Linked DNA regions of Pelodiscus sinensis. The protein of the gene in region 1 binds, or shares a complex with, the protein of each later gene. Links are inferred from orthologs where the notes say so. Each region holds a gene or a part of one and is shown in the gene's direction. Other genes may lie near its edges.

Region 1 (7,429 bases):
TTCTTCCTCTGGCTTTTTCAGCACAATCCAGAAACTGAAGCTCACAAGTTGAATGGACAAGCCAACTCTCACAAGTTTATCATGAGAAACGTGATTTCTAAAGAAAAATAGGTCTTGCCCATGATCTTGTGATTGAACTCTCAAATCTCAGGATTTTTTTCTGCCCGGGCTGGGTGATCTCCTGCTGTCAGCCGCTGGCGGCTGAGAAGTCCATTGTTAGCTGTAGGTGGTAGTTCCCATGGCAGCCTGCGAAGTGGGTGAGGGGACCAACTGCTATCCCTCCCACCCCAAAGCATGGGGAGAGTGAAAAGATGCAGAGATGAGACTAGAGGGACTGAACTATGCCAGAAGGGTGCAGGGGGGGCGGTGAAGTGAGGAGCGTGAGGGCTGATGGGGTAGAGGGCCCATACTGATGGTGAGTTCTGAGCAGATGGATGAGTGCTGGGAGGATGGACTGATTGTGGTGGGGTTGATGGGGGAGGGTGGCTGAACTGTTGATGTGGTGATGATGGGGGGCTGGGGAAGTGAACTGAGTGGGTCTGAACTGAGGGCACTGGATGGGGAGAGAACTGACGGGGAACTGGGGAACAGGAATAATTGCTGGGCAGGTGGTGGGCAGATGTGGGGTTGAGAGCTCCTGCAGCAGGAGTCAAAATAATCGTATACAACGCAAGTTGGAGAGAGGGCAACACTAATTGTTACATGCTACCCCCTTGGGAGGGCAGAGGGAATTCAAACATTAAGAGACTGAATTAAAAAACAATATAATCTTTTTTTAAGTCATGATTTTTGGGCCAATCTCATGATTTTTAGGGGTCCAACTCATGATTTTAGATCTCTTGAAGTTGACAATACTGTACAAGTTAATACCATATTACTTTGCTCAGGGAATCCCTTTATTCACTTTTCCTGTTAGGGTCAGGCTTTTGTAGCCATACCTCCATTTCAAGTCACTCCTGCTTCATTTAAAACAAAAACCAAAACCAAAAAGACCACAACTTCAGTGCAGAGAAAACATTTTGGGTGAGCAGTTCTGATGCATGTCTGCAGAGCTCAAATTTTAAATAGAGTCATTGCTGGCTACATTTTTCCTTTAATCAATGTTTTTCTTAGCACAATTTTGGACTGAAGATTAGTGTCCAAAACTAATTACAGATTTCATTCCTGTATTTCCTTATTAAACCCAAGAAAAAAAATTTCCTTTAGCCTTATGTGTAACAAAGTTAACATACTTTGTTTTATGGTTCTCCACTAACCTTTTCTTTTTCTACTTCTCTCAACCTGGGTAAGAACCAGTCTCCGACCCCAATTTAAAGGAAACATTTATATCCTAAATTGCGGTGTGGTTGAAAGTTGGTCCTGCTGCACTGAAGGCCAATGAGAAAAAGGAGGGAAAATCCAAAAAATTGTGCACTGGCAGGGAGTAGTAGGTGGTGCAAAACTAGAAAGACTGAAATTCCTGCTGAAGGTGACCTTTTAAAAATCTGCACTTAGTTCACTGTCCATTTTGCTACAGCAAAAATTGGGGAAAATACCAGAAATCAGTGGCAGATCTAAAAAAGACACTGGGGAGGGGACATATTGAATAAGATAACGGAGTGGGAAGGAGATTAAGTGGCTAGCTCAAGGTCACACAATATATCAGTGGCAGAATGAAGTATTTAACCCAGCTCTCCTGGCTCACTTTTCAGATGCAACACAGCAAAGCTAGGAAGGAGCAAGAGGAGGGGCAAGCTGTCTTAGTCATTTGTGACTAACAGCAGTGAGGGAGCAGAGATGCTTCACTGCATCCCAATCAAGATGGAAATAAAGAAGGGAGCTGATAGATTCAGTCTTGTCTGAGATCCCTTCCTTCCAGAGTTGCTAACTAAGCCTCACCATGAAGAGGCAGTTCCCACATCATCTGATCGAGGTTTGTGGGTGGAAAAGGGCAGACATAGCTGCACCACCCCCCTTTTGTTCTGCCAGAGAACTTACTCATTATTGCTAGCTTCTCACGGGAAGATGTCCCTTTGGGGTGCAGCTCCTTCACACCTGCTCCAGTTATTCAAGCAGGATCCTGAATACACAATCCACCCCAGAACAAGAAAACAAAGTCTTCCTTATAAATAACCAATGTTCAAGCTAGGAGGTTTAACTATACCCCTTCGTTTCAGAGCAGGGTTTTATCACTCTCCACAGAAACCTAGCACTGCAGAAATTAGCAGCAGGCAAAAAGATCTCTCATTTAATCTGTTCCCTTCTCTCTCTCTCTCTCTCTCTCTCTATATATATATATAGGAGAAATATGACACTGCAAACCTTGCTGAAAATGCAGATAGAGTATTTTATTTTCAGGAAAACCATAGAAATGCTCAGTTGGTTTTGGGCTTGCCTGGAAATAAATATTCATTCTGTGTTTACAGCAGCATAAGATTGCTTTTTAGGGCTGAATTCTAATGACCCCTGGCTCATTAGCCCTGGATTGAGAAAGGCGCAGATCTACCTTACCTGCCGCTGACTTGGAATGGAAAAGGAACAGCACCATGCAAGTCACTTGGAGGATGCTCGGGGTGAAAAAAGCCAGGGCCATTTGTAGTCAGTGCCCCGAGAAAACTGCTACTGTCTGTTCAGCTCCGATAGCCAGACTTCATCTTCCAAGTGGGCTCCACTCTGTCTCCAGGACCGGGAGGAGGTGGGTAGCAAGTAGTCACTACTGCTGTCACCTAGAGGCAATGTGGATGTACTGCACTGTCTGGGTTTTTTTTCTTGCTTTTTTTTCCTGGCAAATCCTGCCCACGCCTAACTAGTTTAGAAAAGTTGTATTAGACACCTGTATAAACCAATGGATTAGAAAAGGAGGCAGAGAAAATCCCTATGGGGGTGCTAGTGAAAAGCTCCTACAGCTGCAAAAATTTTGAAAACAGTTTTCTGGTACAAGGTAATAGAATAAATGTATTTTGGTATGCGTGGCCATGTGTATCTTGCAGATTTTTGTATAAAACACCACGTTAAAAGTTACAACAGACTGATTTCTGTAGGGCTTAATATTCCATTAGAAAATAGGTGACGTAGTCTGCCCAAATCCTGTATCATATTCCTGATGGTTAAGAAAAATGCTGCCTTAAAAATCTTTCTAAAACAGATGAGTAATGAATTTGAGTCATACACTCATAACACAGTGCAAACCAATAACATTTAAGACCCCAATCTTGAAAACTTGTAAGTCTCTGGATGCAATTAGACTCATACAATAGACTGGAACTACTCCCATGCAGAGATACAAACACCTAGGTTTTGGCCTTATTTTGCATGAGATCCTTCATACAAACTAGATGACACTAGGATTTTGGAGAATCATGGCAGGCTGGGTGGATTAGCTGCTTTTAATAAAAATATTTTATTGTACAATAGTATAGTACAAAGCATAGATTGAGAGAGATGGGTACAGCACAAAATATGAAATAGCTACTTTATTATTAACTAATTGCTCCTTGCAGTATACCTTGCTAAGTTGGATGACACTTCTATAGTTTGTCATGCAAATAAAGTTTCTGAACTTGACTGCTATCCAGGAATACTTCTTCCACAACCCATCTTCCAACGTTTATACTTTATTCCCTTCTATTTTCTGTTCTACACCCGGCTTATTAATCAAAAGCCACTGAACCAGTAGAGCTGTCTTTCAAAACAAATTAGGGAGAATTTTGTTGTTGTTGCTTTCATTAAAATCCAGCTGTTGGGTCCAGTACAGGTCTATGGAAGAATATATACTGATATCTCAGTCTGTGGATCTTCACCCAAAGAGCGGGGTAAAAATGATGATACACAGTACAGGCCAACAGGGTATTCCAGGAGTTGACTTTCTGTATCCCGTGTTCTTGCTTCATTCAGCTGTCCCCGTCTCCTCCCTGCTCCTGTTTCTAGTGGGAAAAGCTGTGTGTGTCCGATCTGTTGAGGCATCTTTGGTCTCGGCATTGAGAGCCAAGCGCGTGTGGCTGTGAAGCCTCCGCTCTAGCACACAGCCCGGGGAGCCTGTCGCTTTCACAGCAGGGCGGATGCTCCGCGCTGGGAGCCGCTCTGCCCGGGAGCTCCCGCGGGGCCCGCTACAGGGCGCTGCCCGGGCCCGCTGCAAGGGCCGAGGGTAAAGGCTGGTGCGGGGCTAATGGACAAGCCAGGCCGGGTCTGGGCGCTCTGCCTGCGGCGCTAGCTGCTGGGCTGCCCGGCCGCGCCCCCCGCTTTGCGGCCGGAAGGGATCCCCGAGCCCGGTTCTCGCGTGTGGTGCGGAGGGTTCGCAGCGCGCCCAGCCGGGGCCCCCCTCAGACCGTGACCGGCGCGCTGTTGGGAGGGGGAGGGGCCACCCACGCGCGCGGACTAGGGGCCGAGCGGGGGGATGCTGGCGGGGCGGGGATGCGCGTGCGGGGGCGGGGAATGAAGCCGTTCGCAGGCAGCGGCGGCGGCCGGAACTGAACCCCGGCGGCTTCCGTCGTGCGTTGGGGGCCCATGCGCCGCGCCCGGCTGCGGGCTCAGGCCGGAGGGCGACAAAGGAGGGGCTCTCGAGCGAGGAGGCCGCGCAGGGAGGTAAAGCCCGGGGCGGACTGCGGGGCAGAGACCGGACTCGGCGGTGGGGGGAGCTCGGGGACTAGGCCGCGGGTCGGGGTGTGTGTCTGCAGGGGCCGCGCAGGCAAGTCCCGCAGAGGCCCTGTCGGGGGCTGCCCTACAGCGGGGTGCGCGTGTGTGTGTGGGGGAGCCCTGCCCTAGAGTGAGCTGGGCGCCCTAGACCTGGTAGTGGGCGCTGGGGGAGACTGCCCTGCTGGTGATGGGCAGGAGTCTGGCGTTGGAGTATCGGGATGGGGATGAGGGAAAGGATGTGAGGGGTGGGGAGGCTTAGCTTGTGGGGCTTAGGGATCTAAGGCTGGAGGGTCAGGAGATCTGATCTGAAAGGTTGGGGAGAGGGCACAGATGCCAAGGGCTTTGACCTCAGAGCAAACCCGGGTTGGTAGAGGGAGATGCAATATCACCTTTATGCCCATCTTTAAGATCCATAACTGGTTTCACACAATTACAGAGCAAGAGCACTAGCTGGAATGGGGTCAGCATAGATGGAGTCCAGTCAAAGAGAAAGTGGCACCCTCAATCAGGAGAGAGCCACCAAGACAGAGAAGGTAAGGATAGAGAGGAGCTGAGACTTCAAGGTTGTATTTCCAGTGCTGTCATGAGCTGCCTTCCTGTTTAGGCTAATCACAAAACCTCAGTGCTCCCTTAGCTGTAAACGAGGTAGTTCTGTAATCACAAAAATGTCAAAAAACTCCTGTAAAGTTCTGTGACATTTTTGCGATTACAGAACTACCCATTTTACAGCTAAGGAAGCACTGAGGAACAGAGAGGTTTTGTGATTAGCCTAAACAATCAGTATTTGCATAGAGATTAAGAAAGATGTAGTTAAAAATGCAGTGTATTTCTATTGAAACATAGATTGATTTGAAAGCTAAATCAAATTAAGATGTTGGATATGATAGAAAATAAACATGGATTGTGAAATGAGGTCAGCAGTAAAGGTCTGTAACACAATGAAAACTAAAACCAACTGAGACGCTACTGCTTTGAAGTTCTTTTTACATATTAGGAACTCAGATCATGTTTGTGGAAAAACTTGATTGAGGTACCCTGAAACCTTGTTGAGAGGTACTTAAAAGGACATTATCAATTTGAAATCTAGTCAAGTTAAAATATGTTGTTACACTTTTTATGTTGTGTATCTTCTTCTGACTTCCCTATGCCAGTTTGTGTGCCTTTATCACTGTATTTTCCTAACCCTTAAACTGTTATTCTCCCCTGTTGCCATTTGATAGACCCATACAAAGAAAATGGAAAACTCAGTATGCAAATCTGTAAAAGATGAAGTAACCTTTTTTTCTCTTATTTCAGTTAATTAGAATATAAGTTGCAATTGTATGTAAATAAATATGACAAATATGACTTTTAAATTGATGGTGCCCCTTTAAAATAAGATGTCACAGGACTAAATCACCAATAAGCTGTCATATTTACAATGTTTTTTTATTTTTGTAGGTGGGCTGATTTTTTTCAGTTTTTTTTAATATACTCAAGTCTGGTCCAAAACAAAAATGGCCTTTGTTTCAACGCAAGGGCCCACCGTGGTTGACCAAACCACTTTGATGAAGAAATACCTCCAGTTTGTGGCTGCTCTAACAGATGTTAATACTCGTAAGTTTATTTTCCATTTCTTAAGGAAATGTGATTCTTTACTCATTTGCTTCAGGGAGTTCTGTAATATTGTCTACAGAGTTGGTTGGTAAATTTGAATGGAGTTCACTTTGCATTTTCTTTATCTTTGATTGTTTGAAGAAGCAAAATGATGAGCATTACTTACATGAGCCTTAGAGTGAAGTGTGTGAGTATGAAATGTGAGTATGAAAGTGTGTGATTGTGAGAAATGTGTGATTTATAACTGGGCAATGATAGCTAAACTGATAAGATCTGATTGCTTCTTTTACCTGTGAATGTTTGGTATTTGTCAGGTTTTTGTCACATATATTTAATTTTTCACTCAAATTTGTGAATTTTCAGCCGATGAAACAAAATTGAAAATGATGCAAGAAGTCAGTGAGAATTTTGAGGTAATTGCAAAATTAATGTATTTCTTGAATGATCTAAATGCCACATTTCTTGTTCTTGGTGTGTATGTCATCTGGATTTCTGATCCTGTTTTTATTGTTTAAAAAGGAAATACCGGTTTTCTTTGTTAAACACAGAACCAAAGAGTAATGGCTATTAAAAGTTAAAACATATACTAATTATTAAGTTTAGAGTGCATTACAATCCACTTGCAGAATTATTAGAGGTCCGTAGCTTGTAGCCTCCAGGTTTTTTTCTCAAATATTTGTTTGAACAGAAAATCTTTGTTTAGTACATTTTGAATAAAGAAACTAATCAAATGTGTTTACTGCATAACCTTGATACATTTGTCTGTGGAATTGTTTCTCTAATGGAGTTCAGATGCACATTTAGCTCTCCAAGAAGTGGTTTGCTTGCTTTTTTTGTATTGAGTAATGCAACAGTTGAGAGGTGAGAAGGAGGAATTGTCAAGTGTGGATTCCTTCCTTGAGGACTGCAGTGAAGTGAAGGTGATAGCACTGACCCTTTTTCAGTTCAGCTGATCAGGGGAAAATAGCTTAGGTTCATTTGGGATGCTTAAGAATACCACGTAGAAATACTAGATTTGCCATTTGTTGCTCAAGAAATGGCACCATTATACAATATTATGCTAAAATCTGAATGGAATCCCCTGTTTTTATGTGTTGCTTTTATTTAGAAGTACTGAATTCTAGGTACTTTAGCCGAATAGAATTTAATCTGGAATACTTGGGCAAGTATATCCACATTAATAAAAAATGTCACATGATATTTAATGACAAATATTGAGGAT
Region 2 (7,310 bases), on another chromosome or scaffold:
ACCAAATCCAGGGATGGAGCTACAGCTGCCAACTTTCCACTGGGCTGTAGGGTGCTCTCTGTTCCACCCCCAGCTTTGCCCTAGGCGCTGTCCCCCTCCAACCCTTTCGCCTAGGATCCTGCCACTTCTTACCCTCTCCACTGAGCCAGTCACACCCATGCTTCCCCTTCCCAGTGTCTCCCACTGAGAGAGCTTATCGCAGTGGGCAGGAGGAAAAGGAGGAGGCGGCACTGACCGGTGGGGCTGCCCATGGGGGGATGTGCTGAGAGTGGTGGTGGGGAGATGAGCAGGGCTGGTGCAGGGCCGGACTGAGGCATGGGCTAGCTGGGCAGCTGCCCGGGGTGCCAACTGATGAGGGGCGCCTGATGGTAGCTGTAAGGGGCGCGCGGTGTCCCTTACAGCTGCCATCAGGCGCCATGCGCCTGGCTCCCACAGTGCCGGCACCACGGCGCCAGCCAGCAGCTCCCTTCCCCCCACGACCGTGGGGCCCTGCACTGCCCGGCGCATGCGCCAGCAACACTAGCCAGGCTGGGCTGGGCAGCGCATGCGCCATGTGCCCCGGGGGTGGGCCCCGGGCTGCGCACCAGTGGCTGTGGCCAGCCCATGCATGCGCTGTGCACCCCAGGGGCAGGCCCGTGCTCCCTGGGAGGGCCCCACAGGTGGGCCCGCACATGCGCCGTGCACCCGGGGGCAGCACTGTGCGCCCGGGCCCGGGGTGCCAAAAGGGCTCTGGCTGGCCCTGGGCTGGTGACACAGAACTGTGGCTGTTTGTCCATGTGCAGTGGTACATTCTGGCTCCTTCTCAGGGTTAGGTTGGCCATCCCTGTTTTAAGTTTAACCTGTTATCTATTCTATGGGAATTTACATTTCTAGTACAAGCTGCAGGTTAACAGGGATCCATTACTGAAAAGCAGTCACCTCTGGTGTGAAGCATGGTAGCTGGCAGTGTGTGTGTGTGTGGGGGGGGGAGTACAGCAAGACACACAACATTTCCTCACTATGATTAAGGGAACTCCTGCTTTCCAGCCATAATCCATTATTGTTGGATTCTAGAAATCAGCCCCCAATAATCAGCGTGTGCAATCAGGAAGATGAGCACTAAAATCACGGCACGATGCACACTGGGGTAGTTTAGGCCCCCAGCATGAAAAGTTAAGGGGTAGAATGCTCAGCTCCGGCCAGCAGGTATGCTAGGTAAGGGGGTGGGATAGAGAAGGGGAAACTCCATATGTTTTCATAGCATTTTGGACTTGTAGTCCCTGAAGCCCTCCTTAACCTGCCCTTAGGCTCTCTGCTTCCAGTTCCTTAGTGGTGATGGGAGAGGGGAGCTTCAGGGTGCCTCAGCCTGAAGACCAGCGTTCCTCAGTGCAGAGAGAGAAAAGTGTCTATTTCCTGCAGAGCTGGTGTCTTTAATTCACAGCTGGAACTTTTTTTTTTTTTTTTTGCTGGTGTGGGAGAAAAATCAAATAACTCCAATTGTGTCTAAGGGGGGACTGTGCAGGAAATCAAAACTCTCTAAAAGAAAACTGCTGTAAGGGTTAAAAGTTTTCCAGGCCTCTCTCCCTGTAACAGAGAGAAATCATCTTAACTCTAATCAAGACCCTTACAATTCCTCCTACCTCAAGTTCATGGAGACTCCTAGTCTGTCACAAATTGCCATGTAAACTCTTATCTTTGTCACAGTTTGCCTTGTAGACTCCTCACTCAGGTTCTCATGTGCCTTTGTACTGTAAAACTTACTTCTAGCACTTCTGGTGTGAACAGAAACCTCACTTCTGCTGAGACTTTGATATGTTAAAGAAAACAATCAACAACTAAACTGTCTGAGCATACTGTATAAAGGATCCCTGAACCTGTCTCTCAGGGCTGCTGCTGCTCTCACTCTGGTAGCTGTCAGCCTGCATGCATGCATAATAAAGTTTTCCTTCTAGATTTCTCTCCTGCCTCACTGCTTTGACCTCCAGCCTCGGACCCTTCTGGGGGTTCTGTACCCCAGGGGAGTGAGATTTCCCCAACACTGGTTTAATCAGTCATGGTATATTTTGACATCACTGGAGTCTATGGGCAGCAGCAGGAGCAGTGAGATATTATCTAGTAAAACTGTAAGGTACCGAACACAGGGTGCACCCAGCACACTGCTAAATCTGCCCACACAGCCATCAACCCCTGGATATTTAATATCTTAAGGGATTTACATTTACTTGTGTCAAACACAGCTCGGTGCCAGGTTTAACTGGCGGGCTTCATTTTTTAATATTTATTGAAAATATTGAAAAGATGAAGCACATACACCTGTGTAGGCGAGGCTTAGAGACCATCAACATCAATTAAAGTCTCCCCAGGATTTCAAGTCTTGTAACCTTTAAAAAATAGAGATTAGATGAGGGGAGGCTGCACACAACCACACTCATCCATGGGTATGGACTTTACAGTCACAGAATTTTGCACCTGTGCTTGTGAATGGCCAAACCAGCAGTCCCCAGGTCCCTACAACTTATTATCTAACTGATCTCACATTTGTGTTGGTTAATATATGAACACTCTGATCATAGCTCACCCCATGTTCAAAATCTGAATATTCTTAATCCAATGAACGTGAAAATAATAACAAAAGCAGAAGTCTAGCGGGGGTGGGCCTGACGTGGGTGGGCCATGACACACTTATTTTTCATCCAGGTCCACCCTGCTCGGGCATAGGGGCTGACACACCTGCGCCTGGACTAGGGTGCTGGTCTGACCTCACTCTGCTAGCACCCCAGCCAGCATGCGGGGGTTTTACCACCCCAATCATTACCCACCCACCAGAAGGTGGGGCCACCCCAGCGGGCCCTTCTGGTTAGCCACTGAGAAGCACAGATATATTGTAAGAGCAAAGGGGCTCCACCGGGTGAACATAAAGTTTTCAATTTTTCAGGCTTGACTGGGAATTAAAGCCATTGGACTCTGAGGCACTAGTAGGGGTTTGTGCCTGAAACTGGGAACTCTTCAGCAGCCTGAAACCTGGCCCTGCTGGGATGGTGCTATAGGTCGGTCTGCACAGACAGAAGGTGAATTGGAATCGAATTGTTCACAGGTGGGTCCTAGTTTCATGCACCCTGCTGTCCAGAAGGAGAGTTTGCAGGCGGATTAATTTTTTAAAAGAAAGCTGCTTCCTTGTGTTTTGAAGAAGAGAGAAGAGGAAAGCCATCGCTTGCCGGTTGGTTTTAAACACAGGCAGCAGGGCAGCTTCAACAGTAAAACATGGAACAAAATGCCTCAGAGAGGTTTCCGTGGTAGTCTGTCGCTTTAAAAACAACGAGCAGCCCTATGGCACCTTAGAGACTAGGAAACACAATATAGCATCATGAGCTTTCGTGGGCACAACCCATGTGACAAAACAGCTTTGTCTCCACATTTTGGCACAAGTGCGGCAGCGGTTTAAGTGAATTGCTTGTTCTTAGGAGGCCTATTGATGGCTGGGCATGGTGTGGACACAATCCGCTGAAACAACAGGGAGATTAACGGGGCTCCTCTCCCAAAGTGCCTTTGTGGAAGCTGCATGAACGTCCCACACCTTGGCCACCCATCCCTTCCCAGTGCCCATTCTATGCCCCGTGGCATGCTGAGATCCAGGTTGCAGCTGGCCACAAGGGGGCGTTTGCAGGGGATCCCTTGCAAAATGCAGGAGACAGACACTGGTAGCAGTAATCCAGAAATCCCTTTAAGCCCTGTTAAATCCTTTGCCTAAAGCCTCACATTGAGAAAAGCTGCATGAGAGAGGCATACTGTCAACTGTAGTACCAAACAACTCAAGCTTCCAAGAGCCCGGCTAGCTCAGTCGGTAGAGCATGGGACTCTTAATCCCAGGGTCGTGGGTTCGAGCCCCACGTTGGGCGCAACCTTTTTCCCCTATACTCCCAGGAGAACGTTTTTCCATGCAGCTCCCTAGACTCCCCCAGGATCGCGTGGGGTCCTGGGCTGGCTTGCTAGGCGTCTAAGAGCAACGCGGACTCCCCAGGCTCGGGCAGGGGGATGCAAACGAAGGGCCGCTGGCCGGGGAGGAGGAGTGATGGGAGAAGCACACGGAAGGGGCTCAGGCTGCAAAGGCTACAGGGCGCGGGGGAGGGCCCGACACAGGCCTGTGCCTTGTGCAGGGAAGGGCAGCGCGCAGCCCTCTGCTCCGAGCCAGGGCCGGGCGCTGGGCACAGCTGGCCACGGGACGCCCCGGCCGGGCAGAGCGCACGTGGCGCTGCAGGGAAGCCTGGGGCCGGCCCCGCCCAGGACTACAAGTCCCGGCATGCCCGCGGCGGCGGGAGCATGCGCAGAGGCGCGGGGCTGGGCGCTATAATGCGGTGGCGCTGGCGCGGCCCCGCCGGCAGGGGAGGGGTGGGGAGGCGGGCGAGGCTCTTATAAATGGCGCCCAAGCAGGACCCCAAGCCCAAATTCCAGGAGGGTGAGTGCGGCCGGCGGGGCGGCCTGGAGCGGGGGGAGGAGGGGGGGGCTGTTGTTGGAGCGCGGGCTATTGGGGGGGAGAGTGGGGGGGCTGGGGGGGAGGATAGATGGGAGATGGATGGATGGGGGAGGAGGCTGGCTGTTGGGGGGGATGTGAGGGGGGGCTACTGTTGGAGCGCGGGCTGTTGGGGGGGCTATTGGGGGGCTGGGGAAGGCGTGCGGGGGGCTGTGGGAGGGTGGGGGAGGATGGGTAGGGGGAGGGTAGGGGGGTGGCTGGCTGTTGGTGGGGGAGGGGAGCTGGGGGCTATTGTTGGGATGGGGGATGGGTGGGTGTGGGGGGTTGTTGGGGGGGCTGCGGAGCATTGTTGGAGCGTGGGTGAGGAGTTTCTTTTGGTGGGGGATGGGAGCTGGGGACTGTTGGGGTGGGGGGTACTGGTGGGGCTGGGGGTGCCATGGGAGGCTGGCTGGGAATGGGGCTGGGAGCCCTGTGGGAGGCTGGAGAGGTGCAGGGGATGCTGGCTGGGCTGGGGGTGACAGGGTGTTGGGGTAGTGGGGACTGGGAAGCTGATTCTGTGGCCAATCCATGCTCCAGTAGTTACAAAGCTCTGGGGTGTGGACCAGAAAAAAGGCCCTTTTTAATCTTCCAGCTTCAGTCCCTCCCCCCTATCTCTGCAGTGGGGGAGCGGAGGGCTAAAAGGAAGAGATGGTTCTTTGAAAAAAGGCAAAACACAACCTCCTCACCCAGTTGCTTGTAGGTGAAACCACTGTCACTATCTGTGCTTCACACAGCTTGTGTGCACTGTGTGTCTGAGAGAGTGGTTTGTGGGCTGCAGGGTTGAAACACGGCCTACGAGGTCAGTTATGACCCATGGAGATGATGTATCCTGGCAGGTTGTGGTGAAACAGAATGGCCTTTCAGTTTAGATCTAGGTGCATGGTTCCCTGCTGGAAGCCATCTCCTCCAGCTACTCGATTGGTAGCTGCAGTATAGGTACTCCATTTTACAGAGGGCTTGCAGCTTCTTGGCAGTCTTTCAATGAGGCCCTCAGTTAAGCAAATTTGGACTCCCTTGTGTGGTACCTGAGGGGCAGAGGGCTTTTAGGATGTTCCAGCTCCCTTGCGTGCAGAGAATTAGGAAATGGCAGTGGTTTCTCTTAGATAATTCTCTTGTTTTTTTTCCATACTTCTCAATGCTCTCAGCTCACCCAGGAGACTCAGGACTTGTTCCTTTGTTTAGAGTGTGCTTGACTTTTGTCTTTTTCATCGGTGTGTGTCAAAGCATTCTGATAGATATCAGTGGGCATTGAAGCCATTGAAAGATTTTTTTTATCAAGTTGGACTGTCAAGATTTTCCTTTCTTGAGGTTGAGAAGTATGTTTACTTCATTACTTAAATTATTTTTATAAGCTCGCCCAGTTGGAGATCTTGTATCTTGTCTTGTGACATAGTCTTTATTAAATATGGCTTAAGGATATTGTAAACTACAGTATGCTGATTATTGTGGTGATGTGCAACACTGTTATAACTATGGTGATCTCTGTTCATAACAACCCCCCCTTTTTTAGACATAATATTTTAGGGCATGACTCGACTACAGAATTAAGTTGACCTTATTTACGTCGGCATCCAGCAGTTGCAGTAATTACATCACTTGTGTGTGTCTGGTTTCTTCTGTCAGTCGTGTGTGCGCTCACCAGGAGCACTCGTACTCATTGTACTATCAGTGTGGGGCATTGTGGGATGACTTCTGGAAGCCAGTAATAGTCACTATAAGCAATGCACTGCTGATGCTACATCCATGAGAAGCATAGTTAGGCCAATGCAGAGTGAAATGCCCTGCTGTGTTACCTTATGTTGTCTAGATTAGGGCAAAATTTTAGTGTAAACATGTGCATAGGCTGCCATAAGCTGCCGTGCATTGAGATAATGGTAATGCAGACCAGGCCTTAATTCTCATCAAGCTGAAACATGACATACACTTTTCATGAAAGATGCAACTTACTCAATAAAATCTGCTTTTAAAATAGGTGGTGTTTTTTAGAATAGACAAATGACAACTGTAAGGGTAATATTTAAATATGTAATTTGAAAGACTAATGGGTGTTTTGAATGTACATGTTGAATTGTACTCGTAGATATGGGAAGTGGTATTGTTTGTGCTGATGTGACTTTCTGGTGTAGTGTGTAATATGCCAGTTGGTTTTTTATTTTAGCTTTAGAGAAGCTGACAGCAAGTGGTCTTTAAAAATTTCCCCTGGATTTAGCAGTATGTATTTGCTTATTTAAAAAAAAAACAGATTTAACTTGCAAAGTTGTCTTTTGCCTTGTATCTTGTCCATTCTGGATCTGGATCCAGCAGATGGCATTTGATTGAAACCCTTCAGAAGTCAATGGAAAGATTTCCCTGGGAGTCAGACCAGGTCCTTAATGAATAATACATTAGAATTCACCTTACACATGTAAAACTACTGCAGCATTAAGCATTGAAGCCCCAATCCTTGCAACTTGTGTTTTGTTGTTGTTTTTTGCTTACCCATTCACATCCCTATGCCAGATAACTGGTTAACCGTTACCCAGGAGTGGCCAGCCATGGATGGAGGGCTGCTCCAGCCCCATGGGGCTGCCAGCTCTGGGAGTCGTCAGCCTCTCATGGGGTTGGGAGGGGCAGCTGGGGGGGAGCAGCTGCTTTCGGCCCAGCACAAGGCTGCCAACTCCTAGCTTGCGTGGCCTGGGAGCCAGCAGCCCTCTCCACCTCCTCCTGACTGCTGCTTCCAGCCCCAGACAAGGCTCCCCACTCCTAGCCCCTGCAGCCTGGGAGCCAGCAGCCCAGAGTGGGACCAGAAGCAGCTGGGCTGGAGTAGCCCCTGCACATGGTGTGG
Region 3 (7,252 bases), on another chromosome or scaffold:
AGGTAGGCCCCTAAGTACCTTTGGCTTTGAAAGCCGTTACCCGTTGGTCAGTGACAATGCCCCTACATCTGGTCTGCACATATCCTGGGCTGAATTTATCTGTGATGTAACTTCCTTGAAATCAATGGAGTTTTATCAGGGAAGGAGCTGGCCTCTTTTGTCTCACAATAATTAAGCCTGTCGCCTTGCAGTCTGTACTCGGGCAAAGTTCACATTGACTTAAAAAAATATGCATGAACATTAACTTCATTCCCATGTTTGCGCTCGAACCTTTAGACAACACTGTAATGAATCTCAGAAAGCAAAAGCAATTTCAGACAGACAACGCAGCACAAGCAAACAGCAATGCACATGCACCGTTTGGATTCTCAGCCTGGTTCCTTATTGTCTTGAGTGTTGCGTTGTTATTTACATTAATGCAAAGCGGGTTTTAAATTATATTGTTCCAATGCAGGGTAACCATCAATCAAGCCAGAGAGAGAGGAAATCTTAAAGGGCAGCAAAGAGCAGAAGGATGTGAGATCAGATAGGTAATGGAATGAGTGTTATCATACAATCTCCAAACATTATTTCTTACCACTTATACGAGGAGGAGCTATTGGTCCCAGCAAACCTGAAACTAAAACCCAAGTGAGTCAAGTTAGATTTCCTACATTTAGGCCTGGTCTGCAGTACACAGGTCAATGTTAGCTGCCTTGTGGTGATCTGGCTGTGGAAGTGACTTCATTTACATTTGGCTCCGACTGGTGTTTATGTGCCTCTCTATGCCAAATTAGTAATACATCTCCCCAAGCGGCGTAGAGTCATGGTCAATGAAATTAGGGCTGACCCAGCGTCAGTGTAGACACTGAGATACTTATGTCAACTGTTCGTGCCTGTCAGGAGCTGTCTCACAGTGCCCCACACTGGCAATACAATGGATACTAGAGCTCCTGGTAGTATCCACCAACACAAGGAGCCAAGCGTGCATGCACACAAGCAATTCAATAGCTGCAGTGGCTGCATGAAGATGTAAGTTAGGTCGACAATGAGCACTTATAATAATAATATATGGTGATATACCATCTAATAGAGCTGGAAGGGACATTGAGAGGTCATTGAGTCCAGTCCCTTGCCCTCACAGCAGGACCAAGTAACATCCCTGACAGATTTGCCCCAGATCCCTAAATGGCCCCCTTAAGGATTGCGCTCACAACCCTGGGTTTAACAGGCCAAGGCTCAAACCACTGAGCTATCCCTCCTCCTTCAGAGGCAGGCACCTTCGTTTTCCCCTCCCCAGAACATCTCACCAGCCAGAGGGACTTAAGGATCAATTCCCTCCCCTCCCTTCCAGCACCTGGCCTTTACAATCAGCTGCTTTGCAGTGTGCAAGAAGAGCTGGAAAGGAGCACTCAGGAGAAGGGGTAGAACTGGCCAGGAAGAGGCAAGGCAGGGGCCCAACATGGAAAGGAAGAGGCAGGGTGAGGGTGGGGCCTGGTGAAGGGATACAGTGGAGGTTGAGTCTGGGGTTGAGCACTCCTGGGGAAAGGAGGAAGCTGGCACCTGTGTCCTATGGTGTGAAAAAACCTGAAAGTTCCAAATTCAGAATCACAGAACATATTTTAGCAACAAAGCCGATCAAGAGATAATTAGTTCATCATGCATTATTAGCTGAGTTTTGTAAGTTTCTTCCGGGTATATTATCAATCTAGATTTATAACCAAGATGAGTTAATCATGTTGAGAAATCAGAAATGAACACCCCATAACAAAGGCATGCTTCGTGGAAAGTGTTCAAAAAACTTCCGCTGCAGAGACAGTGCTAGTGAGAGTCAAGATTTGGTTTATTTTTCTTTGTGGACCAAATTAATCTCTTGCTGTTAGTGAATGCAATTGCTGTTGACTTCAATAGGATTGGGCATACTGAATCTGGCCTATGGATCTTTGTGTCTTACACTGGGATAAGACCAATGGGCAGATGTATTTCCCATTGGAGGCCACAAACCCATTGTGCTGTGGTGGAATTATAACGAGGAGTCCTGTGACATATTTGTTTGGGCATAAGCTTTTGTGGACAAACCCCCACTGTGTTAGATGCTTACAGTATTTTTTTTGTCCACACACAGGCCCATTGATGGGGAGACAAAGGGATCTGGCAATTCAGAGGGAGTGGAGTAGAAGTGGTGGGAGCCTGGGCCCTGTAAATCACTATGGGAGCACTGCATGGCGTGCTCCAGGTGGCTCTGAGGTTTGGGAGAGAGGGCAGCATGGCACACTCGAGGCCGGGGTGGGCAATAATTTTTGACTGGGGGCTACTTCAGAAATGTTTGAAGTGGCCCCAGGCTGCTGGAAGGGGCGGGACCTCAGGCAGAAAGGGCAGGGCCATGACACTTCAGTGCTTCTCCACCCACAGACTCTGATTGGTCTGGAGACAGGGGAGCACGCAAAGTCTTTGTCTCTCACCCCTGCAGAGAGAATTGCCAGCTCTTCTGAACAGCTGGCAGTTCTCTCTAGGCACCCGTTCCCCAATGGTTGGAGGAGACTTCACGTGCTTCCCCTCTGCTTCCCAAGTCAATCAGGCCTTGGGGGAGGGGGAGCACGCAAAGTTTCTTGCTTCCTGCCCCAGACCTGCAAGGGAGTACCACCCTTAGGCCTTGTCTACACTGGGCCACTTATTCCGGAAAAGCATCCTGCCAATGTAGACGCGCTTCTTCTGGAAATACTTATAACGGAAAACTCTTCGGCTACGTCTAGACTGGCCCCTTCTCCGGAAGAGGCATGCAAAGCAGGCAAGTCAGAATAGGGAAATCCACGGGGGATTTAAATATCCCCCGCGGGATTTAAATAAACATGGCCACTGCTTTTTTTCCGGCTTGGGGAAAAGAGCGTCTAGACTGGCGCGATCCTCCGGAAAAGGAATAAGAGATCCTCCGGAAAAGGGCTTTATTCCGGAGGATTGCGCCAGTCTAGACGCTCTTTTCCCCAAGCTGGAAAAAAAGCGGCGGCCATGTTTATTTAAATCCCGCGGGGGATATTTAAATCCCCTGCGGATTTCCCTATTCTGACTTGCCTGCTTTGCATGCCTCTTCCGGAGAAGGGGCCAGTCTAGACGTAGCCTTCCGTTTTAAGCATTTCTGGAAAAGGGTGCCAGTGTAGACGTAGCCTTAGAGTCAACCGCCAGCAGAACAGCAGCTGGTGGTTGACTTTAAGTACTGAGCTCCTTGCAGGGCAGGAGGAGATTTTGTGCGCTTCCCCCATCCCCAAGCCCTGATTTGCCTGGGGATGGGGGGAACATGCAAAGTCTCCTCCCGCCCTGCCCTTGTTCTGCAAGGAACATGCAGCGCTTAGAAGTGCCGTACACTCCTGGCAGGATGGGAAGAGACTTCCCGTGCTTTCCCCTGCTCCCAGGCCCTGATTGGTCTGGGGGTGGCGGGGGGGGGGGGGGGGAGCACACAAAGTTGCTCATTCCCTGCCTTCTAGCGCATGGTGCTTAGAGTCAACTGCCAGGGTTCACCGTGCTGTGCGCTCCCCCATCCCTAGGCTCTGATTGGCCTGGGGGGTGGGGGAGAGGCAAGGCCAGATCAACGCACTTGGTGGGCCAGATCTGGCCTGCGAAGGCCCTTTTACTCATCCCTGCTCCAGGTGGTGCTGAGGGCTTCCCAATCCCGCCCCCTCCTGTCTGAGGCTCCGCCCCTTCTGGGAGCATGGAGCTGCCCAGCCTTGCCCAGGAGCCCAACAAGTCTGTCAGCCTCCCAGCTCAAACCAGGAGGCTTCATGGCTGCAGGGAAAATTGAAAATAACAACACCTTTAGCATCAAAATCCAGATGGCCAGTAATGGATGATTTTTTTTGTATTACTAGAAGACGAACCCGGCATTGCTCAAGTCAAAAAAGTTTTTTTTTTTTCATTTAAATCATTGTTCTGCAAAGGGGCGTGGGGTTCGGTATTCAGGCTGCCCTGGGGAGAGAGGACCACTCCAGCCCTCTGTCACCGCAGCAGCTTGGGGCCAAGTGAGAAGCATCTGTCCATGGCCACTACAGCTCCAGCGGGCACAGCTAGGGGAGGGGTTCATGTCCCCCAGCTGGGGGGCTGACAGACACACAGACAGGCTCTCTGGAACGTGCAGTAGAGGAGCTGTCCCTGTCTCTGCTTCTGTCCCCAGCTGGCCCAGTGGGGTTCTACCTGGGCAGCCTGGCTTCCATCGATCGCTCGGTGCTCCATGGTTCTCCACTGGCCGCGCCTCCCCGCCTCGATCTCTCGGCGCTCCGTGGGCTGGATTCGCTCGGCGGTGCGCTCGCTCTGGCCTGGGCCAGGCCTGAGCAATCGCTCGCGGGGCCCGGCGGCTGGGGGATGAGCCTGGCGGGGGGCAGGGCGCCGCGGCGCACGGCGGGGAACCGGCTCGCGGGGCTGCTGGAGGCGGAGGAGGATGAGTTCTACCAGACCACCTACGGGGGCTTCACGGAGGTGGGGGGGCTATGGAGGGATTGTAGGGGGGATACGGGGGGGCTGTGAGGTGTCCCTGGGGGGCGGTGGGGGGATTGTAGGGGGGATACGAGGGGGGCTGTGAGGTGTCCCTGGGGGGGGTGGGAGGCTGTGGAGGGATTGTAGGGGGGATACGGGGGGGCTGTGGGGTGTCCCTGGGGGGCGGTGGGGGGCTGTGGAGGGATTGTAGGGGGGATACGAGGGGGGCTGTGGGGTGTCCCTGGGGGGCGGTGGGGGGCTGTGGAGGGATTGTAGGGGGGATACGAGGGGGGCTGTGGGGTGTCCCTGGGGGGCGGTGGGGGGCTGTGGAGGGATTGTAGGGGGGATACGAGGGGGGCTGTGAGGTGTCCCTGGGGGGAGTGGGGGGCTGTGGAGGGATTGTAGGGGGGATACGGGGGGGCTGTGAGGTGTCCCTGGGGGGGGGTGGGGGGCTGTGGAGGGATTGTAGGGGGGATACGGGGGGGCTGTGAGGTGTCCCTGGGGGGGGTGGGGGGCTGTGGAGGGATTGTAGGGGGGATACGGGGGGGCTGTGAGGTGTCCCTGGGGGGGGTGGGAGGCTGTGGAGGGATTGTAGGGGGGATACGGGGGGGCTGTGAGGTGTCCCTGGGGGGGGTGGGGGGCTGTGGAGGGATTGTAGGGGGGATACGGGGGGGCTGTGAGGTGTCCCTGGGGGGGGTGGGGGGCTGTGGAGGGATTGTAGGGGGGATACGGGGGGGCTGTGAGGTGTCCCTGGGGGGGGTGGGAGGCTGTGGAGGGATTGTAGGGGGGATACGGGGGGGCTGTGAGGTGTCCCTGGGGGGTGGTGGGGGGATTGTAGGGGGTATACGGGGGCTGTGGGGTGTCCCTGGGGGTCGGTGGGGGGGCATCAGTCCCTTGTGGAGGTTGAGTTGGGGACTGGCTGGGGTGGGGGCAGTGTGGGTGGGGAGCAGAGGGGCCCATGGGAGGGTAACATGCTTGGGCGAGTGGGGGCAACTCACTTCTGACTGTTGTTTCCTCCCCCCCCCCCCCCATCTCCTGGGCAGGAGTCGGGCGATGATGAGTACAAAGGCGACCAGTCGGACAGCGACGACGAAGTGGACTCCGACTTCGACATCGATGAGGGTGATGAGCCGGCCAGCGACCAGGATGATGATGAGCCCAAGAGGAAACGCAGGGTGGTCACCAAAGCCTACAAGGTGAGGACAGAGCAGCTGGTCATGGTGCTGGATGGCTCCCGCTGGTTCTGTATTTGGCAGCACCCACTAGTCATGGATTAGGGATACCCCCCTGTGTGCTGGGTGCTGTATGGCCCATGAAAAAAATGGTGGTTTTGGCCCCAAAGAGCTTCCAATTTGAGTAGATGACAGGAGGTGCCAAGTGGATACAGATGGGGGAGCACAAGAAAACAATGAGACAACCACAGTCAGTATGATGGGCAGTGTTCTCTACACAACAGCTGGCTAACCCCTGTTTCTGACATAGCCCTGTGGGGCTAAGGGAGGGACCCATATGAAAACTGCTGGCAAAACTCTCAGTATAACCAGATTATAACCTAATTTAGGGGATAACTGGGGAGTTGACAGCAATTCCATTTATAGGCTGTTTTATTTATGTTCTTAGCTGCAGTAGAAGCTTGAAAGCATAGTCTTCCAGAGCAGGAGTGCAGTCTCCTGGGCAGGACTCCTGGGTTCTATTTCCAGCTCTGGGATGGAGTGTGGTCTCAAGTTTAAGCAGGAAATTTGCAGTCAGGACTCCTGAGTTCCATTTTTGGGTCTCTGCGCTAGGTATGTGAAGGACTAGTCAGCTATCCAATAAGTAAACACTTATCGGATAGTCAACAGGATAGTCAACCAGTCACTTCCCCCCCATTTGCCGCCTCTATCAGATAGAGGCAGCAAGGGCGGAGGGAAAAGAGGAGGTACTTCAAAGTGGCAGCACCACATGGAGCTTGGGGTCTGTAAGGCGCTGCTGACTCTGGGCTCTGTAAGGCGCTGCTGCTTTAAAATGCCACAGGAAGCCTGGTGTTGGGCTTCTTGTGGCATTTCACTGCGGCAGTGCGGGGGGAGCCCGCGATCTGCCTGGGCTCCACACAGTGCTTTTGCTTTTGAAATGTAGCAACAGCCCTTAGGGCTGTTGCTATACTTCAAAGGCGGAGGCGCCCTATTGACTAATCAAATAATCGATGCAAAATGCATTGACTATTCGATTAGTTAATTAGTCGATACTTAACATCCTTACTTTGCGGGAGTGATGTTAAGTGATTAGAAACTAACCATAATAAACAGACCATAGTACAGGCAGTCCCCGGGTTACGTACAAGACAGGGACTGTAGGTTTGTTCTTAAGTTGAATTTGTATGTAAGTCGGAACTGGTACATATTGTAGGGGAAACTCTAGCCAAACATTTCTCCAGAGCTCAATTTTATTCCCCCACACCTCACTTCCCTCAGTCCTTTATTCTCAAGCTAAGGTGTCTGCTGAGAAAAGCCGCTCCGTGTCTCCCTGGTCTGCTGGAGGGAAGCAGCTAGTGCGGGGTTGCCTCACCCCGTTTGTAAGTAGGGATCCGATGTAAGTCAGATCCATGTAACCCGGGGACTGCCTGTAATAGTAAAAGTAAATCAGAGACTGAAAATGTTCTTTCTGTAATCAAAGGTGTAACTAGTATTACGGGCAGAGCACTTTTAAAAAAAAAAAAAAAAAAGGCATTTATGTCAGCAAGGGCCTTCTGGCAAAAAGCAGCAGCAAAATCCCTTGTTTAAATAATCCCTTTAATTAAATGGGGCTGAAATCTCCAAAGCAGCATTATATAGTA
Region 4 (7,806 bases), on another chromosome or scaffold:
AAAGTCTCTGACGCAGACACAAAATTGCCAGTCTTGTGAAGCAGCTCATCATCTTCATCACTATCATCTAGTTAAAACAAATTTAAAACTGAGCATTAAGTGTGTAATTTCTTGCTGCGTCTCCATATAAACTTTATTATCTTTTGAGTTCTCTGCAGCTGTGAGTCAAAGCAATAAGCTAAAGCACAGAGGCAGAACAACTGAAGATTAACACAGCTGGAGTTGTGTATTACATACCTGAAGTCAACAGATCTTAAATCGTGTTTCCGCAACATCCACACAGTGGGAGATCAGCTTCCTTTACTGCTCGAGAGGAGACGACATACTGGAGCTGATCAGGACACCCTCTGAGTTCTATACTAGACCCACTAAATTGAACCCCAGAAGATCAACTGTGGCAAAGTTGAACTTCGGCATAGCGTAGACATGGCCAGAGAAGGCATAAAGCAGCAGGTATACAGTACACAGTAAAAGTTAAAGCAGGAAACGTGCCAGGCAACAAATGACTTTCTAAAAGGTCACACAAAATAAAGGATCATGTTGGAAAAGCGAATGCCTTTCTAATGTATTTAAATATATTTACCATCATTTGCATTTTTTCTGGCTTTCTTCTTGTGTTTCTGGGCCCAGAAAGGCACGCCTCCCATAGCTCTCTGAAATCTAAAAGAAAGGACAATTTTCATAGCCCCATTCTTTTCTAATGATTTGTGTATCATACTGCCAAAAACTGATTTTTCTGCAACTTTTCTCTCACTAATAGGTAGACATTAAAACAGTGCCTCCTAACAATTACACCATCTCACTCAGATGCAGCAGCCAGACTTCTTTTGCTGTTTTTAAATAGATCTTTTCTACTCTAGCTTCCATGAACTGATTCAGCACAGAAAATCTGAACTAAATGACATACATATATAAAATGTTATACTCATACATGCCTAGATGGCAAAGTTCACATATATAAGAAATAGTGCTGTAAAAGGTTAACTGGTAAGCTTTGCCCTTAAGAGGTAAGGCTTACCAGTTCCGTTTAACTGGTAGGGGCTAAAGCAGCTCCTTGCACACCTCTGCAGAGCCCACAGCACATATAACCACTATAATTTTTGGCAGTTACATGGGTGCATTTTTAAATCCCTAATAAAAAGGATGCTTAAATACACACATGCAATAATTAGGGCATATAAATATTATGCTATATGTAAAATTCTGTTTAAATGGTTAACTGTTTAAATGTAATGTTTAACTGGTTAACCAATTAAAAGGGGAGTGAGGAGGCTGCTCCAGCCAACCTGGGCTGCAACAGCCTGCCTCACTCCCACGGGGTTGGATGCATTTGATTGATGAAGCTACTTATTTTGTTGCTTAACGGATTTTATGAAGTCTAATTTGTATGTTAACTTCTCTCCTATGTCATATAATGGTAAGGAAACAGAAACAAGACTGTGCTCCAATGACAATAAAGCTTTCAATAGTCTCCTCTCCATACCACAGAGCAGCTGAAAGCTTCAATGACAAGCAATACAATCACATGCTAAGAATGTAGGGTTTTTTTCATTATACTAGTTATTTGTTAAGTCCTCACAACATGGTCGATGCTGTTAAGCAGACTAGCTTTAAGGAATTTAAGTTATTCACCCAAGTCCCTTGGTGAAAAAGGAGAAGAAAAAAAAAAGAGCAAATCTTACTTGAACATAACATATCTTATGTTACTAAAATTAACAGCAAAGTTTGCTAACATAATCCATTAACAATTCTTACTGTTCTTGAAGTCTCTGATTAAGTTTCTCTTTGGTAAGCTTCTTCTCTGCATCACTTTTCATCATGCCTTTGCGATAACGATGTGTCATGTCAACTCTAGGAAACAAAGCCATATTCTCAATGCTAAAACTGCAAAAAGCATAGTAGCAATCCTTATTTTCTTGAAGACTTCAAAAAGCAGCCATTTAGAACAACACACTCAGTATTTCTTCCAATTCTTGAAGTCAATACCTCTATTTCCCCTTATTTCCAGTCACATCATAACATTATGAGCTTAACTCACATTTCCTCAACTTCATCATCATCATCCACCCAGGCAGGTTTTTTAGATGCAGGAAAATTATCTTTTGCTTCATTCTCCACTTCTGAGTCACTGATGTCCTCTTTTAGAAGATTTCCTGTGACAGTATCAAGCTTAAAGAAAAAACCCATACCATATGGTCAAACACTGGACAAATTTAATATTTACAACTTTAAACAGAGAAAGTTTAAAAGACATTTTTCCATAGGGGAAAAATAAAAGAATCGTAGTAAAACCACTGCTTTTCCCATCTCCGCATGCTGGGTGTAGAGCCAGGAGGGATACAGAGTGCAGTTCCTAATGCTCCCCTCCTCCAAATGCCCACCCCAACCACAAGAATCAGACAAGCAGTTATCTCCCCTCCCATAGTCCATACCCACTATTTCTCAGGAAAGGTCATAGTTTAGAGAACAATTTATTTATACTAAAAAGACACATCTGTTAAAAAAGCCACCTATCTATTGCTACTGACAGACTAGTCTACATGTAATAAGATGCACCTTTAAGCAAGATTTTCAGTAAGTTCCAGCTGTATTCCTAGGTCTTTCACTCTTAATGCCAAAAGTCCCACTAGATCTGAAATTGATTCTGCCTGCGAACCCACATTCAGTATAGGGATGTATTCGACTAGTTGCTTCCTCCCCCACCTCCCCATCAGATGTGTCATGCCCCGCTGGCCCTGTGGTGCTTGCACATTTAAAATGTAGCAAAAGCCAGCAGGTGAAAGTGCCCTTCTCGACTAATTGAATAGTCGATGCAAATTACATCAACTATTCCATTAGCTGATTAATCTAAATTTAACATCATTAGTTCACTACCTACAAATGTAGTGGCTATTGCTACAAGCAACCCAAAGCAGTTTTATGCTTCATATTTAAAACTGCCCAGAAAAATAAGCCACATATACATTTAAGTAAGATTTTACACATATAACTCTAACCATATAAATAAGACATATAAATGTAAGTAAGACTTTAGTCAGGGGCCTATTCCCCTTCCCAACAGAGAGCAGTTGAAAGGGGAGGCTTTGCCTACATTGACTGCAGCACACAGTACAAATGGTGTAGATTTGTGCTGCAGCAAAAACTCAACTGTGTCTACAGTATGACTAACTGCACATGGAAGTGGATGGCTCTTGCGGGACGAGGCAGCATGACACTACACCACTACGAATGGCAGGGGAGGAAAGCACCAAGTGGCCACATGCTCACAGGGTTCGGGGGTGACTTTACTCGCCTAAGCATTACCGCACCAGCTACACGGCTATTTGAACCCGTGCTGCGGACAGGGAGCGCCGCATGCTCACTCCCCGTGCGGGGAAAGCGCACCCAGACGCAGGAAGAAGTGAGGCTTACGGGGAGGGGTGCCTCAGTGGGGCCCTTTCTACATCCGCCAACCCCCGTCTTTCCGATCTTTACTTATCCCCTCCCCCCGCCTCACCTTCTTGCCCCGGGCCCGCAACCGCTGCAGCGTCTCCTCCTCCTCGGCCTCCTGGCTGCCGCCGAACACCAGCTCCTCCAGGCACCGCTCCACCTCCGGCTTCCCGGACAACATCGTCAGGTGCCGGGCACGTCGGGCCTCCTCGCCCCCATCGCCGGAGTCTCCCGCCCGCGGCGACTGCCGCCGCTTCCTCTCCGCTCGAACGCGCTTCCGCGCGGGGCTCCCACGAGCAGCTGCCGGCTCCATCTCCACACCCACCTCAGAGCCTACCGTGCCCACAGCGGAAGCGTCACTAGTGAACCGGAAGTAGAAACAAACAAGTCCCGCCCTCCGTGACCTAGTAGCTACCTCCCACCCTGTGATAGGCTCTCTGCCCCCATCACGCCTCTTTCACGTGATTCAGTCAGCGCCCCCTTCAGGCAAGACAGTCTCACGTGATCCATTTCCCTCCTCCCCCCGCTTCCCACGTGATAGGTTCCCAGGCCGGACCATTCCATTGCTCACGCGGAAGGGACCAGTCCCACTTATAGGGCCTAATCTTCCAGGAGCGCGGCTCACAAACGGTAACACGGGGCTCAGAAGCAGCGAACACGCCAACTACCAGTCTGTTTTTGACACGCCGCTTCGAGCACTCTCCCACCAGCCCCCCCTTTTACAAAATAGTTTCACCCTACGGAATACGGCGAGCCAGGAGGATCCGAAGACCTGGGGGCCCAATGAGAGCGCGCGGCGGGATGGGCGCTGCGCCTGCGCCCTGCGGTTATGCTAATGTTGTTGATATTCTGGGCAGGGAGTTGAATTTCTTTCTCTGCCTAAGTGAGAGGCTGAACTTTCCAGGCCACCTCCTGCCCCAGCCGGGCCCGGCCCCTCGGAGGGGAGGGGGGAGCGAGGGAGGGGGCTGAGCCGAGGGAAGGGGGGGGAGAGCAGCAGGCATCCCCTGCCCATGAGGGCCTGATGGAAAACACAAAGGACCTGGTGAGTAGCGCAGCCCCGGGGGGAGACGAGGCAGCGGCCGCCTCTGCGGTGGGTTCGCCTGGCTTACCTGGGGGGGGAGTGGATTGTGTTGGGGGAGGTAACGCAGCGTGGGGGGCTGTGCTTGTGAGGGGGAGCCCCCGGGGGGGTCACTCCGTGGGGAGGGAATGCAGGGGCAGTGCGGGCATGGGGGGCAGCCTGCAGAGTGGGACCTGGGAGGGGGGGAACTGAGCTTGTGTTTGGGGGAGGGAGCCGAGCAGCTGTGCTGGCCGCAGCGTTTGTGTGGGAGGGGAGCAGCCAGGAGCACCCTCCAGCTTCTGTTGTTTCATGAGTCTCTGTCTCTGCTGGAGGCGGGGAGGGGGCAAAGTAGAGGGGAAGCGCGGCTGCAGCATTTCTATCCCCCATCCTCTTCCGTCCGTGGGCACGCGGGAGGTGAGGGAGCCGGAGCCGCGGCGCGAGGGTGCCCGGAGAAAGCGCTGGGGGCTGGGGGCACAGCAGCAGTTACGAGCTCCGGGGCTTTCGGCTAGTTTGCTGTCTTCCTCTCCGGATTCTCCGCCCCTCCTCGTGTGTGCCTGCGGGGAGGGAGGGCTGCAGCTCTGATCCCGGGGCTGCTTCGCTGCTCTCTTTTGTTGCGATTCCTTCTGCGGTGATTTGCAGGCTTCTCTGAGTTCCTGGGAGAGCTCTCGCTAGGAGTTTGATTCGTGCAACTTCAATCTGCATAGCAGACTCTTCTGCGAGCAGAGTAGGTTGCAGTAAATGCAGAGTAGCATCCAGTTGATATGCAATTAGTATAATTACCTGGAGGTACTCATGCTGGGACAGTGAATGAGCACAGAGCAGGGGAGTGTTCCGCAGTGTTACGAGAGAGACTTTAAATGTCTCGCTGAAATACATTGCAATATCTGTCATCACCGGGAAAGAAACGGGTGATGTGGGAGAGGACAGTACCCTCATCAGACGGGTTACCTTTTGTTGTGCTCCCTTTTCCCCTAAGAAGATTGTGTTAGATTTCATCTCTCTGCAGGCTGCCTTTTTGTCTCTGCAGGCTCTCCTGACAACCAGAAACAATAGCAATGGCAATGGGTTTTTGTTTTTAACTGAACAATTCAGACCTGCTGTGATTCCCATTGACTGGTGGGGGAGACAAGAGAGGGAATACTTTTTTTATTGTAGTATTATCTTTTTGCAATTAAGGCGTTTGCTCTGAGGGTTTAATGAAACACGGCGTTTTCAAATGTTGCAATCTCTTTACTTTTACTATTTACAATTTTGGATTTTTATAAATCCAGTGTGTAACTCCATGGTTTGGTTTGCTTTTGGCATTTCTCGCAGCTTGAGCAATGGAACTTTGAAGATAGTTTCACTTTCAGGTTTGTAGATGGATTTCCAAGTACTGTATGGAACTTCTTGGTTTTAAAGAGATGCTATTTATAGTAGACTTTTTTAAATTGATTAGCCATTTTAGTTGGTGATGGTAGTCTTCATAAAACTTTAGTCTTGCAAAATGTACATGTGGGGATATTTATAAATTGGTAGTGCCTCTTTAAAAGTTGCATTCCTTTTAAAGAGAAGTTGTCATTTAAAGCTTGAGAGTCAGTTTAGGGCAAATCTACTCTAGGAAATTATTTCGAAATAACTAAATTCAGCACAATAACACCTGAAAGAGCAAAATCAAAATAGTATGCCCACACTATGGGGAAGCCTCAAAATTAGTACAACGCAGGCTCCATTATTGTGGATGTGCTCCTTTGACTTAGAGTCCCAGGATACCCTGGGGAGTAACTACTTCAAATTACTATGGGGAGTAGCTATTTTGAAATCGCAGCACTGAGGTGTCCGCACAAATACTGTTTCCAAATAACTGTTTCAAAATAAGCATTATTCCCTGAGGAAAGCAGGAGTAAAGATTTCGAAATAACAGGCTTGGTAATATGGATGCTCCGCTTATTTCGAAATAATGGGGGTTATTTTGAAATTACTCCTTAGTGTAGACCAGGACTTAGTGATTTGATATTTTTAGTGTTGGGGTCTCAAAGTTTGTTTTTTTTATACAAGGTAAATAACACAATTATACTTCATTTTTAATAATATTAGGTAACCAATCTGAAAGAAAAATTAATCTGTACTAAATTTACCATACAAGTAGTAGGGAAAAGGGCACTCAGTCTATAAAACAGCAGCTTTGTAATTCTATTTTAACTAGCTTTTTTTGAACAAGTTGTCACAGGGACAACTGGAAACCATAGGAAAGACAAGTTTCCCAACTGGAAGTTAACATACAAAGGAACCAGCAATTTAGACTTGGGTCCTGAAAACTCTTAGGTATATGAATAACTTTATACTGTGAAACAGGATTGGAGTGGGGAAGCAATATTTCCTTAGTTTCTGGTTTATAAAAATAAATGACTAGTTGGAGGACCATTGGTTAAAATGTTTAAGGGTTCGCATTCCTTGCACTTTGATTTTTTCCCCCTTAGTCCCTAAAATTCAGCCTGATTCTGCAAGGTGCTGAGCACAGTCAACTGACAGTTAAGCCTGTTGACAGTGCTCAACAGTTGCTGAATTGTTAACAGTTGCTGTGCAAAAGGTCTGTGAAATGGAGGCCACAAACAGACAGGGAAAACTGACTATAAAATGTCAAATGCAGATACTGAAGACAAAAGTGTATTTCTATAGCTTTTCAGCTACTCATTTGACGTGTTACTTAAGTAAAACCACTGTCCAAAACTTGCCGGTCAGTTTTGGAATTCCAGTGAATCAGAAATTACATTTGGATTGTTGCTAAATTGTTTGCATTTCCTACTGTGCAACAGTGCAATTGTTCCTCACAGTGCAACAGCGGACACAATTATGCTAAAGCTTTACATTTTTAATAAGTTGCTAGAAGGAAAGTTGTTTTGATTTTAAAACAGTTGCAGTATAACCCGTTCAGTTTTTGTGTGTGTATTTTTGAACAGTGCCCCTAACCTTTCCTGACTATTGTTCCCGTTTCAGGAGTCTGATTGGTCTTGTGTACCCCCATGTTTCACCTCACTTAAAAACTGCTTGTACAGGCAGTCCCCGAGTTACGCAGTTACGAACGGGGCGTTCCTCTCCCTGGTCTCCAGCAGACCAGGGAGAGGAAGCAAAGCGGCGGAACACGTGGGCAGCGGACAGGGCTGTCCGCTGCCCACGCGCTCCGAGGCTTGGCTCTGCTTTGCCCCCCCCCCCCCCCCCCCGTCCCCCTGGTCTGCAGACCAGGAGGACAGGGGGAGGGGGCAAAGCAGAGCCAAGCCGCGGAGCGTGCGATCAGCTGACAGCCCGGACGCGTCTGGGCTGTGAGCTGGCCGGGCGCTCCG

What was found.
Region 2: TRRAP (region 1) and MORF4L1 share a complex: the UniProt entries of both Homo sapiens proteins name them as parts of the nuA4 histone acetyltransferase complex. The link is inferred for Pelodiscus sinensis from reciprocal best matches to the Homo sapiens genes TRRAP and MORF4L1.
Region 3: TRRAP (region 1) and VPS72 share a complex: the UniProt entries of both Homo sapiens proteins name them as parts of the nuA4 histone acetyltransferase complex. The link is inferred for Pelodiscus sinensis from reciprocal best matches to the Homo sapiens genes TRRAP and VPS72.
Region 4: TRRAP (region 1) and MBTD1 share a complex: the UniProt entries of both Homo sapiens proteins name them as parts of the nuA4 histone acetyltransferase complex. The link is inferred for Pelodiscus sinensis from reciprocal best matches to the Homo sapiens genes TRRAP and MBTD1.

What each region holds. Positions count from the first base shown.
Region 1 is NC_134726.1:24,279,407-24,286,835, forward strand, and holds the start of TRRAP (transformation/transcription domain-associated protein), read left to right. Parts: upstream 1-4,412; 5' UTR 4,413-4,560; intron 4,561-5,047; 5' UTR 5,048-5,144; intron 5,145-6,051; 5' UTR 6,052-6,107; coding exon 6,108-6,207; intron 6,208-6,570; coding exon 6,571-6,620; intron 6,621-7,429. Other genes in the region: TMEM130 (transmembrane protein 130), read right to left, coding at 2,491-2,572. UniProt on the Homo sapiens protein: Adapter protein, which is found in various multiprotein chromatin complexes with histone acetyltransferase activity (HAT), which gives a specific tag for epigenetic transcription activation.
Region 2 is NC_134724.1:1,223,550-1,230,859, forward strand, and holds the start of MORF4L1 (mortality factor 4-like protein 1), read left to right. Parts: upstream 1-4,297; 5' UTR 4,298-4,392; coding exon 4,393-4,432; intron 4,433-7,310. UniProt on the Homo sapiens protein: Component of the NuA4 histone acetyltransferase (HAT) complex which is involved in transcriptional activation of select genes principally by acetylation of nucleosomal histones H4 and H2A.
Region 3 is NC_134734.1:15,612,262-15,619,513, forward strand, and holds the start of VPS72 (vacuolar protein sorting-associated protein 72 homolog), read left to right. Parts: upstream 1-4,238; 5' UTR 4,239-4,329; coding exon 4,330-4,443; intron 4,444-5,483; coding exon 5,484-5,636; intron 5,637-7,252. UniProt on the Homo sapiens protein: Deposition-and-exchange histone chaperone specific for H2AZ1, specifically chaperones H2AZ1 and deposits it into nucleosomes.
Region 4 is NC_134730.1:15,381,827-15,389,632, reverse strand, and holds the start of MBTD1 (MBT domain-containing protein 1), read left to right. Parts: upstream 1-4,794; 5' UTR 4,795-4,795; coding exon 4,796-4,900; intron 4,901-5,187; exon of another isoform or gene 5,188-5,210; intron 5,211-5,333; exon of another isoform or gene 5,334-5,838; intron 5,839-7,806. Other genes in the region: UTP18 (U3 small nucleolar RNA-associated protein 18 homolog), read right to left, coding at 1-67, 584-660, 1,756-1,851, 2,039-2,169, 3,497-3,742. UniProt on the Homo sapiens protein: Chromatin reader component of the NuA4 histone acetyltransferase complex, a multiprotein complex involved in transcriptional activation of select genes principally by acetylation of nucleosomal histones H4 and H2A.